Linked DNA regions of Yarrowia lipolytica. The protein of the gene in region 1 purifies or fractionates together with the protein of each later gene. This does not show direct contact. Links are inferred from orthologs where the notes say so. Each region holds a gene or a part of one and is shown in the gene's direction. Other genes may lie near its edges. The genes, in order: YALI1_F09996g and YALI1_D15692g.

Region 1 (5,080 bases):
GAGCGATCATATACCGACATGTGGAAGAAGTACAAGAAGCGAGTGCTGATTGCCATGTCGTCGCAGATGTTTGCCCAGCTCAACGGTATCAACGTCATCTCTTACTACGCTCCTCTGGTGTTTGAAGAGGCAGGATGGGTCGGACGGTCTGCTATTCTCATGACCGGTATCAACGGTATCGTCTACGTGTGTTCCACTATTCCCCCGTGGTACCTCGTGGACAAATGGGGCCGAAGACCTATTCTTCTGTCCGGTGCAGTAATTATGGCTATTTCCCTGGCGTCTGTGGCGTTCTGGATGCGTCTAGACTTTGCACATACACCGGCTCTGGTGGTGATTTCCGTCGTCATCTTCAACGCTGCTTTTGGATACTCGTGGGGCCCCATTCCCTGGCTCTATCCCCCTGAGATTATGCCTCTTACCATCCGAGCCAAGGGAGCTTCTCTGTCAACCGCCACCAACTGGGCCTTTAACTGGCTGGTGGGATATATGACCCCCATTCTCCAGGAGACCATCAAGTGGCGACTGTATTTGATGCATGCCGCCTTCTGTAGTCTTTCGTTTGTTCTCGTCTACTTCACCTACCCGGAGACCTCGGGAATCAACTTGGAAGACATGGACTCGTTGTTCGGCGACAAGTCTGTTGTGAACACCCCCGACTCGCGGTCTTTGCTTGGTGATCGAGACACTCCAGAGCCTGACGTGCCTCACAGTTATACTGATGCTGCCACCGATCGACTGCCTGCTGGTATGCAGGGCTATGGCTCCGCTCCCAGCTCGAGAGGAGGCAGTGTGGTCGGAAGTCCCCGACGAGGAAACAGTGTGGTTGGGTCTCCCAAGCGGGACTTCCCTCAACCTCCGGTATAATGTCGTATGAAGCGATGTTACACACACGGAGCACACTAACCAAGCTCCGAATCAAGTACACTGTGGTGGATTCAGGTTGTATACCATATAGAGAATATCATAGACATGGTGTTGTGCACGAGTTTAGATGGGTAGAACGGCATCAAGCGTATTGTTTGTAGAGGCGGTAGAAGGGTAACATGCGGTTCAGTGCATTCTGTTTCTGGACTTCTAGACTCGCACCTACAGCACAGTATGCAACTTGGGTTGGATAATGTAGCCTACTTGTACTTGTAATTGTAAAGCGTAGAAGTATTTGTATAGGTGAATGGACAATCAATTTCATGTATGGAACCGGTTTCTTTTGAAAAAGAGCTTTTCGTGTCATCATTTTACACTTTGAAATGTCCGTATGAATGACCTGTGATATATGCCACTTGTTTAGGCACCATAGAAAGGACTATCATAAACACTGACATAATATATCTCTCCAGTAAGTGATTCAAGCTGCCTGCAGGCGATATCAAGTGAAGAAAAGTTTCAGGGAATTGTACTTGTACATAGGAACTTGTACTTGTACTTGTTTGCAGTGTACTGTACTTGCAAGATATGTGATGGAGCTTGTGCTTGGCTCTCGATGGCTGCGGTGCTCTATAAATAGCTTTACTAGTCTCTTGAATTCAGACAAGATTACTTGTACTGGTATCTGGCACCAGAATACGGGTCGTGGTTATTGTATGAATATTATATATACAGCCAGTAGCAGTCCCCCTAACTCGTAGGTGTGAATAACTCTGATGTGCGAGGCTGTGCAGTTTCAGATACAGTTTGGGGAGATTTCCAACAGACTGACATTAATTCCAAAGAATAAAACAACGACGGAAATGAAGGTCGGCGCAGAAATCATCCAAAGACCACTTTGTCACTCATATTCACACCTTCTACCGGAACACGAGGCGTCATATTGGGTTGTACAGCAGGGTGCATGTATGGTGCAGCACAACTCTAAACGAAGCAACCCAACGACAGCAAGAGACTGTTCAAACCTGGCACTACAACCCCCCACAAAAATGCTGGAATCGTTGGTTGCCACGATCCTGAATCGTGTGTTGGTGAGTATTGACAAGCACGACATGGCCCCGCTGAGCAAATGACTAACCCAGGGCTCATACGTCCGCAACTTCGACCCTAATCAATTGAACATCAGTGTATGGAGTGGAGATATCAAGCTGAGAGATCTGGCCTTGAAGAAAGAGGTGAGTACGAGGAATGAGATTGGAAGGGAGGGATGTGATTCTGTGAGAAAAATGGCGACAATCGGCCCGGATTTGATTGAATTACGACGACACAACGAGGATTCACAAGAGCAATCAGCATATCCAAGGGATGCAGACAACTTTGTGGAGGACACGTCAAGAGAAATGGAAGCATTGTGGATCAATGGAGTATTATTTTGTGATAATGTTTGCAAAGAACCCTTGTGCTCCGCTTTGGTACTCTATTTCCTGTGTTTACTTCTGGACACCAGTCTGGTCTAGACCGCCTGTTGCCACCAAGGGGTAGATTTGATTGGAATGGCACCAAAACGTTGGAATTTTCTTTTGTTTTGAAGATCAGTGCTTTGGCTGCTGTGGTCCAGCTTAGCACAACCAAACCAGATACCGTTCACTCACGAGCTACGCTTCCATTACTAACCCAGGCCCTCGACCAATTCCACCTCCCAGTCAACGTCGTACACGGGCATTTAGGAGAATTAACCATTCAGATTCCATGGTCCAACCTTAAGAACAAGCCGGTGAAAATCACAATCGACAATGTCTTCATCCTTGCGGTGGCTCGACAGCAGGACAAGATTGATCCGGAAGAAGAGGCCAAACGAGAGCTGGCAGCCAAGCGAGAAAAACTGGAGGCTGCCGAGCTTATGGACCAGTCGAACGAAGACAACCCCGCGCTGTCTTCGGACGAAATCAAGCGTAACCAGAGCTTTTCCGAGTCACTCACTACAAAAATCATCGACAACCTGCAGATTACCATCAAGAACATTCACGTGCGATACGAAGACGTGAACCAGTTCACCAAACAGCAGTTTGCCATGGGAGTCACTCTGGAGGAGCTTTCGGCCATCAGTACCGACCAAGACTGGAAGCCCGCGTTTATTCAAGGAGGAGCTATCGCCAACAAGTTGGCCCGTCTGGGTTCTTTGTCCATGTACTGGAACTCGGACACCGCTAGTCTGGCGCCATTAGACAACGAAGAATTCATCAAAGCCTTCAAGGCGCTGATTGCTGCAGAGTCCAACGCTCTCAGTGACTCGCACCAGTACATTTTGCGTCCCGTGTCTGGAGTGGGCAAGGTGACGATGAACAAGGGTGCCATAACCAAGACAACACCCAAGACGAAGATTGAGCTCATGTTCGAGGAGCTGGGTTTCATCTTCGACTCATTGCAATACCGAGACGTACTGTTCACGGCCTCAGAGTTTCAGCTGTACTACAAAACACTGAAGTACCGAGCTCTGAAGCCCAAGGACGCCAAGCATGCCAAGGATAACCCCCGCGAGTGGTTCCAGTACGCCATCAAAGCGGTGCTGCAGGAGATCCACGACAAGAACAAAGTCTGGAGCTGGGACTACATCAAGGGCCGTCGAGACGACCGACGAGAGTACATCAAGCTGTACAAGCAGAAGTTGGAGGGTACCCTGACGGACACTACTAAATTTGACAAGCTCGAGATGAAATTGTCGTACGAAGATTTGCGGTTCTATCGGTCTCTAGCGACCAAGGAGCTCAAGGAGGAGAAGCCAGAGCTGTTCGAGAAGTCCGCGCAGCCGGATGAGAAGAAGGGCTGGTTCTCGTGGATGTGGGGCACTGCAGACGACAAGGAGAAGGCTGAGAAGCCCCCAGTGGTGCTCACAGACGACCAGAAGAAGGAGTTGTACGACACCATTGGGTGGGACGAGGAGAAGTCTCCTAACGATACGTTTGACGTACCCAAGGACGTTACCATGATGCGTCTTGACGCGTCTCTCAAGTCCGGTTCTCTTCAGTTGTCTCGAGACCAACGTAACGCCAAGTCCGGTATTGCCAAGGTCGAGTTCACGGACCTGTTTGCAGCCTTTTCACAGCGAATCGACTCGTTCGCAGGTGACATTGGCGTTGGCGACATGTTCATGGACGATTCCACAGTCGGATCTGCTTTCCCGCGCATTGTTTCCGGCAAGCAGCTTGCTCAGATGGGTACAGCCACTGCAGGCAACTTTCTGGACCTCACTTTCGAGAACAATCCTCTGGACGGTCATGCTGATTCGTGTTTGAGCGGTAAGATGAAGGCTCTGAACATCATCTACAACGTCAAGTTGGTTGAACAGGTGATTCTGTTTTTCAAGCCCGCCGACAACCATCAGGAGACCCTGACTGCGCTTATGAGTGTGGCTGGTACGACTGTGGAGGAGTTCCAGGCCAAGACTCGTATCGGACTTGAATACGCCCTGGAGGAACATAAGACGATCGACGTACAGCTGGATCTGGCTGCTCCTCTGATTGTCATGCCTCTGGACATCACCAATAAGGAGTCGCCGTGTCTGCTGATCGACGCTGGTCAGATCAAAATCAAGTCAGACCTCGCCGACAAGAAGCTCATTGACCAGGTCAAATCCAAGGCGTCGCAGCAGTACTCGCAGGCCGACTGGGACCGGCTCAAGGTTCTCATGTACGACAAGTTCAACATTGAGCTGTTCAACACGCAGCTGTTGATTGGATCGAACATGAAGGACGCGGTAGGAGATATGCTGGTGGAGCACTCGCCTAATTACGTGATCGACCGGATCAACCTCAAGTTTCTGCTGGAGGTGTCGATTGTTCCTGACGCTACCCACCTGTCTAAGATCAGAGTATCCGGAGAGCTCCCCAAGTTCCAAGCATCTCTTTCTGATGCTCGGTACAAGCTTCTGATGAAGTTCATCGATCTGGCCATCCCTAACACGGACTCCAGTCCCTCGGACACTCCCTCTCATGATATTTTCCTAAGACGGTCAGATTCTCAGTATTACTCTGATATTAACGACAACGAGGAGAAGGAGAAGGAGAAGGAGGAGAAGGAGGCCTCTGCCATTGCCAAGATGAGCGCCCCACAGCTCAAGCAGAAGCAGTTTGAGTTCTTTTTCAAGGTCGACACGTGTCTGTTGTCACTGCGAAAGTGCACAAACTGGGACACTCTGGAGGAGGAGCCGCTAGTG
Region 2 (7,145 bases), on another chromosome or scaffold:
TTGCTCCACGTCTTCAATCTGATGACGCACTAGAACTCCAGACAAGACCCTGACAGCGTGCTCAAAGCCGTCGTACCGACCAGCTAGAAGAGGCTTCACGACCGACTGCTGCCACGAGCTAGGGCTCGAACTCCACGGTTCAATCTTGAGAAACTCACCCATTATTCGGCCCAGTTTCTGAAGATCGGACTTGTGGTCGAACAGAGTCGTTGTGTCTAGACGCGTCAATCCGGCTGTAGGCGTTCCTGAGACGACCCATCGACACTCAGCAATCCACTCCTGCCCACAAATGTCCAGAATGGAGTTGTTATTTCCAACCACGTGACCTTCATCTACAATCAGCCGTTTCCACCTAATGTCCTGAATGTGTGAACATGCTGGGTTGGAGAACACCTCCTTCAAGATACTGTTAGTAATGATCACCAAATCGGCGTCAAGAACAGTGTCCAGATCAGGAGCCTTGTCCACAGAACTGACATGGATCACCTTGAGATTCTCCGTGTGCTTCTTGGTCTCAGTGAGCCACTGGAACGGTAGCGAGTCTGGACAAACAAGAAGCGTAGTAGCTGACAGATGGATACGCCTAGGCGGTTTTTGCTCGCGTGAAGCGGCTGTACGACTACTCACTCGCACACGGGGAATATCAGGCATGAGAAAAGTACATCTGATGGAAGAGAGCACTGCAACACACGAAGAAGAGAGACGGTCTGCGTAGAGACCCCAAGGAGCTCCTAGTTCAGCCACCCTTTGAGCCACCAGCACTTTGAGCTGAGAAATCTTGCCATTGCCCGGTAGCTTCATCATCGTTTCAGACAGAGTATCGCTATACTGAGCAGGTACAGTTGCCATCGATTTTCGAGTGGCACATATCAATGCTAAACAAATGCACGTCTTTCCAAGACCCATATTTTCCGCCAGAATTCCTCCTCGAGACAAGCCGGTGGTTTCGGGTAACTCCTTGCGAGCCACCAAATCTTCTGGATGGAAAAAGAAACCCTTTACCGACAAATACCTCGCGCTGACAGCCGTCCTAGGGGTTTCCTCCATGTGCATCATTTGTGAGACTGTTTCTGCCTGGTAAGGGTACAGCTCTGACTTGAGGTTGTCGACATGGCCACTGAATACCGCATCAACATGCGGATCAGAAAGGTCATACTGAGGCACAAAGTCAACAGACTCGTAAAGACTCATGAGAAGATTTTTGCCACTTTCCAGCTCGTCCCTGCTTGCCGTCTTTTTGGCAGGATCATTGCACAGATGACTAAGCCAGCTGTTGAGCCGTTCCTCCGAGGTTACCATCTTTGTGATGACTCCCAGACTGGTTCTATAGAAGGGAACGATGGGTGTCTGTTTTCCTGGTATGTAGAAGAAGGGTATCAAGCGGCTGATTGCCGACTTTCGCTTATCGTGCATATGTTGGAGGGCGAACGAGTACAGGTGCTTGGGTTGGGTTTTGACTCTTAGTTCTTCTGGCACCAGATAGATTCTCAGGGATAGAAGTTGTTTGAGAGGCGTCGAAGTGCATGTCACTCGAATCGCTTTAGTGTCGTACAAATATCTCAGCTCCCTCAAGGGTACCGACAGGTTTGTGAGTCGAAACCAGGTCGATGGGGGCCAGTTCCAGCCGTCTGGGGCTGATTCGCCTTCACAGGGCAGTTTCGGGTGTCCTGTGACGAATATGACGCCCAAAAGAAGCAGGTTGTTGAGATTTTCAATGGAGTCGTTCATCGTGTGGCATTGTGAAGAGTGTCTAGAGTGGTTTCAATGTGTCTCTTGTGGGGCATTAGATGTGGTGCTCTGATGGATATTGGGTCTTGATGCACATCGCATCGCTCAGTTATGTTCCACGCTGAACTCTACTAAGACTGGCATGCATAAACTTGCAGCGCAACTAGTCTTGTACGAGCCGAGCAAACCTAGGCAGTGTTGGAAACAGGGCAGCATATACATCAAGAAACGAGTGAGTGTGAGAAGAGGGAGAGATTTGCGAGGAAAGGAGAGTTGCAAGCCTGTCATATGTCACGTGATCATGTGGCTGACACCCAGACCTACTCCACAGGTTCCTCTAGTTACTAACTCAGACGCATGTCAATGGATGGATCAACGGCTGCTTCACCACGTGCGCCCCAAATCGTGCCTGACGACGACAAGGGCCTGCCGTTTCTGAAGGGCCGCCGAGCTCATCCCATGGAGGGCAAGGTGGATCTTTTGGCAGACTACGAGAACCTCGACTCGGTGCGCCAAAAGTACAATGAGTGGGTGTACAATGAGGTGCCCCTAAACTCATACACGGTGTTTCGAATGGAGTATTCGACCCCAGACCATATGGACCGGTCGTCGAGAGTGCAGGTGGTGGGGCCTCTGGCCAAGGAGTGGATTGAACAACCCCCAGATAAGGTCATGAGGTACTACGCCGGTTCTTCTCTAGGTCCCTTCTTCAAGCTCACTTCGAAGGTGTTCCCTGGAAACCCCCTGAATGCGCTGTCCAAGCCCAAAAAGATGCTTATCTCCAAGCTCAACAAGAACGGTGACGATCTGTTGGAGGAGCTCATGGAGATGTACGATTCCAGTGCGACAGACATGACTGATTCTGAGCTCGAGCCTCCTTCAGACCCCCATTTGCCCTTGGATGCAAGAGAGGAGGAGGAGTCCGAGGAGTCTGACGTGGATCCCGATAGGTTTCTAAGCGCTCAAAGAAGGAAAAAGAGCTTCTTTGGACGCACAAAGTGGGACGAGGTGGGCTCTAGTTCGCGTGACAAATCAAAGACATTCAACCACAGTGTCAAGGAACACGGGTCTTTCCAGGGGTCGCGATTTTCTCGTGGTAGAACAACACCAGAGCTGCCTAGGAGAGGCACAGGTACGTTTTCCGACCAGCTCAACGCCCAGTCTTCTATTCCTTCTTCCAGAAGAAGAGGAACTTTTTTACGACGAGCAAGATCAAACTCAAAGGGAAAGGGGATCATGACAGATAGTGACTACGAGGAGGAAATGGATCTTCCAGATTGCATACCCGAAACAATCGACATGTCTGTACCCATTGTGAAACTTCCTGGATTTGGTTCTAGCAAACGAGAACATCCTTCTAGTCCACACACAGCTCCACCTGGTATCAAGGTCAGAGACTTTAGCGGCAATGCAGTGAACCACTCTAGCGAAAAGAAGAACGACAATAGTGACGATCCGGACGGTACATCTTACAGGGAACCTGTGGGTGTCATGTCTCAACAGCCCCATGGCTCTGCATTGCATTCTTTGAGAAAGTACAGTGGGCCCAACCACGAAGCCTCCTCCGATATCAAGAAGGAAAATGGCATTGGACCACTAGAGATGCCTCCAAAACTGCAACGTGCATCTACTGCACCCTACAATCTGGGCTCTGAGGGTCGTTCTTCCGCCTCAGACGTCCCTCTTTTTACCCAAACGTCGTCTCAAACGTCAGATACCTCCCATGCTGTTGGTTCGGTGGGCACGATCGATTCATTCCACTCGGCCGAATCGAGTTTGGCACCATTGGATGCCGTAGGCGAGACAAACATGTCTGATGCTGATAGCTTGTCCGAGGAGTTTGATTCAGATCTGGACGCAGACAATGAGCCTACACTCCGTGGCTATGACGTTTCGAAGAAAGACCACAAGGGCAAATCCATCTTGATGGCTCCCAATCGCGCAGATGTGCTCAAGGGAAAGGGGTTCCAGCAAGCTCCTGCGCCCTCATCTTTAACTTCTGCTTCCAAGGTGAAGTTTTCTGGTCCCAGTGGTCTCACACCCGGTCAAAAGCTGCGCTGGAAAGAAGAACAGAAGCTACCCGAGCTTCAGGAACAGGATAGTCTACCTGAGAACGTACAGTTGATGGACGGATCTGACGACTTTGGAAACAACGGCCAAATCTCCGATGCCACTGAAAAGGTGATTGATGATTCAAAGGTAGCTGAAGCTCCAGAGGGACCTGAAGGTCAAGAGCCTGATGAGGTCAAAGAAGACGGAGATCCTACTGTTCCACATACCGGTCTTCGTCATGGTAACGAACCGCGGGGTGCTGAAGTCATGACTCCTGCTACTATCGCCGCTGCCAATGCGGGACCTTCTCAGAGTGACTACTACCTTCAGTTTCAGGAAAACTTCATGAACCGGGCAAAGAATGTCGCTGGTAAGATGAAAGACAAGTCTTCGCGTACTCGAGACGCTACGGTCAAAAACTGGAGGTTTTTGAGAGAAAAATCCGCCGGAGAGATTGTGCGGATCGAGAAGATGTTAGTTATGGTCAAGACCAGTCCAGCTCTGCATCTACCTAAAGACTTCAACGAGACAGAAACAGGGGACACTCGAATGTTGGAACGATGGAGAGAGTACATTGTTGTTGCTCGAAGCACAGGTGACCCCTTGAACCCGATCTCGCTGCAATTCTATTCGTCCCGATCCATCAAGGCTGTTGAGAAGGTGACCAAGGGTAAGACTGGCGCCAAAATGTTTCTGACACTTGGCAAGCATGTCAATGTGTCGCTGTATTCATCTCTGGATAAGACCATCGCCCTGTGGTACACCAGCAAGCGTGAGACTGTCATCTACATTCTGCGGGCTCGCTCAGCCTACTCGTCCATTCGGTGGTTTGCATTCTTCTCCGAAATTCTGGGTGCCCGACGAGACAAGGACATGCATGTGCGAGTGCCTGATCTGGCTGTGGTTGTAACTGTTCGGGTCTCTTGGCGCAAGTTCCGACTTATCGACGAGTACATTTCTAGAAATCTTATGGCTGCCAAAAGAAAGTCAGGCCGAGGTGCTGTTCTCACCGCCAGAGCTCACCAATACATTACTGAGAAGGCGCTCAAGGCTCTGGCTGAAAACCCACGATTTAAAAGCACCATTGATGACTGGGTGAATAATAAGCGAGTCGGTCTTGGATGGCGTCGATACGACCGATTAGAGTGGGTCCAGGGCTTTGGAGAGCAGGAGTTGCATGGTTCCTGGGCCCTCAACCGAACGCACGACTTGGAGTTGCGTGTCAAAGAACATTACGGTGACAAAATCACAATCAAGGGAGAGGAGTTGGTGGAGCCCACCCCCATTGAGGGTCATCTGGTGCGTCTCAAGTCTTGGAATGGACAGCTAGGAGGCGCCTTCTCCTCCAAAAAGAACTCGTTCGGTAAGCTTCTTTACAAGAACCTGTACTTTTCCACCCATGACTACTTTCTTTTCTTTGCCAAGCCCGGCAATGCCATTCTTCCTCTTCCCGACGAAGATCTCAAATGCCAGGAAGCCTACAATGAGGAACAGCGGGAGTGGGTGTACGAGATTGCCCCGTTCAAGTCTGAGGAGGGCACCGGTGAGATGAAGGGCACTCCTATCATCAAGTGGCTCAAACCAGGTATCACCGAGTCGGAGTTTCAAAAGAAGGATTCCATTGCTCTGCACAACATGCAGAGACGGGCCGCTCAGATAATCAAGGCTGATGGGTTCATCAACCTCCTTGAAGTTGTCCAAGTTCGTGCTACCAAACGCCAGGAGGACATCGACGACAGTATTGGTAACGAAGACAACAATGTGGACTTTGACGGCTCTCGAATTCTCCATGGAAGCACGTCTCAGGGCCTGGGAGGAGAAGACGGCGAGGTTGATTCTTTCGACGAACACAAGACGTTTGAGTTGGTGATGGAAAACGGTCTTATCGTGCGTCTACAGGCCTACAACTCGCACTGTCGAAACTTGTGGGTCAACAAGCTCAGGGATCTCATTGCCTATTGGAAAGTGGTGGCCCAAAACCAGCTGCAAGTATCTGCCGACTTCCGAACAAACAACATGAAACGTCTCTACATTGACGATAAGTTAGATGCAGCTATTGGAGAGTCGTCTCCCAAGTGGGAAACCGCCCGTGCTTCAGCCTCTACTACGCTGTACAATGTTTCAGGTATCTCGTGGTCCCGTTCAATCATCATGAAGGGTATGCTGTACCATAAGACACGGACCCATGGCTCATTCAAGTTGTACTACGCGGTCCTGTGCCATGGACATCTCATTCTCTATGACGTTTACAGACGAACGCTCGGAGGTATCCCTATGGACAAGGTGGACTACGAGAGATTCAGAGACATCCCTCTCAAGGAGGCCTACGTGTACTCCGGCAACATTGCGGAGTCAGATATTCTGACCCGCGACGAAATGAGCGATCTCAGCTCGGACAAGGTGGTACCTCGCATGTACAAGGACGGGTGGAAGTCTGCCGAGAGTGAGACTCTGCGATGCATCATTTTGTGGTTCCCTCGAAAGAAGGCCGTGACTACAAATTCTGCCACCAAGCTGCGAACCGTCAATCGACTGGGTGTCAGTGGCCATCGGTACATTTTTGTGGCCCGTTCTCGACAGGAGAAGGAACAGTGGGTTATGGCACTGTCGCATGAAATCGAAAAGCTGGTGGAACCGGATTTTGCTGATATCAACATTGTTAATTAGGCCACTAGCATTATATTACTAATACTTTGATTATACAGCCGGCTTAGATACCGATTTGTATGTATCGGCACTCATGTAGAGAAGACTTTGTACCTGATCTTCTACCGTTTTTCACCTGTTTTACGCTTGTATTAAACTTAAAACATTTCTTACAGTCATCTATTGGATATTACTTGTACTTGAATGACTTGACACCACCACAGAACAGATGCTAACATTTACCATGGTGCCACCATACAACGCAATACCAGAAACATTATCGTGCACAATGCCGTGCAACACGTTTATCAAAAACTGTGCCAAACGCAGAAACAGTTTATGCAGCGTATTCGTACTTGTCCTGCTCGATTCGGGTCAGATACTCTCTCTCAATCAGATCGTCAATCACCTTTTTGATCTCGCCAATTTTGGGGTGGAACCGCTTCTTGGACTGCACAATGGTTTCCTGAACCAGCGCAGTATGCTTGAGAGTCTTTCGAGCCTTCATGACACGAACAATCGTGGCTTGCAAGAACCACTTTCGGTCCTCCTCGATTGCCTTCTTTGTCTCCTCAGCCTCAGCCTTAGCCTCCGTCTTGATGACTCCGTTGATGTTGATTCGGATCTTCTTGGACTTGAAGTCCTGGTTGAAGACGATTCGCGTCTCAGGCGTGAGCTCCACGTCCTTGGGGTCGCCAGACACACCCTCAACCAACAGA

What was found.
Region 2: the proteins of YALI1_F09996g (region 1) and YALI1_D15692g purify together in Saccharomyces cerevisiae (affinity purification with western blotting; 5 studies listed by BioGRID, with this or other methods). This does not show direct contact. The link is inferred for Yarrowia lipolytica from reciprocal best matches to the Saccharomyces cerevisiae genes VPS13 and SPO71.

Annotation. Positions count from the first base shown.
Region 1 is NC_090775.1:997,728-1,002,807, forward strand, and holds the start of YALI1_F09996g (uncharacterized protein), read left to right. Parts: upstream 1-1,916; coding exon 1,917-1,958; intron 1,959-2,009; coding exon 2,010-2,102; intron 2,103-2,545; coding exon 2,546-5,080. Other genes in the region: YALI1_F09965g (uncharacterized protein), read left to right, coding at 1-867.
Region 2 is NC_090773.1:1,564,208-1,571,352, reverse strand, and holds YALI1_D15692g (uncharacterized protein), read left to right. Parts: upstream 1-2,085; coding exon 2,086-6,447; downstream 6,448-7,145. Other genes in the region: YALI1_D15696g (uncharacterized protein), read right to left, coding at 1-1,728; YALI1_D15622g (uncharacterized protein), read right to left, coding at 6,764-7,145. UniProt on the Saccharomyces cerevisiae protein: Recruits the lipid transfer protein VPS13 to the prospore membrane during sporulation, thereby aiding prospore membrane formation.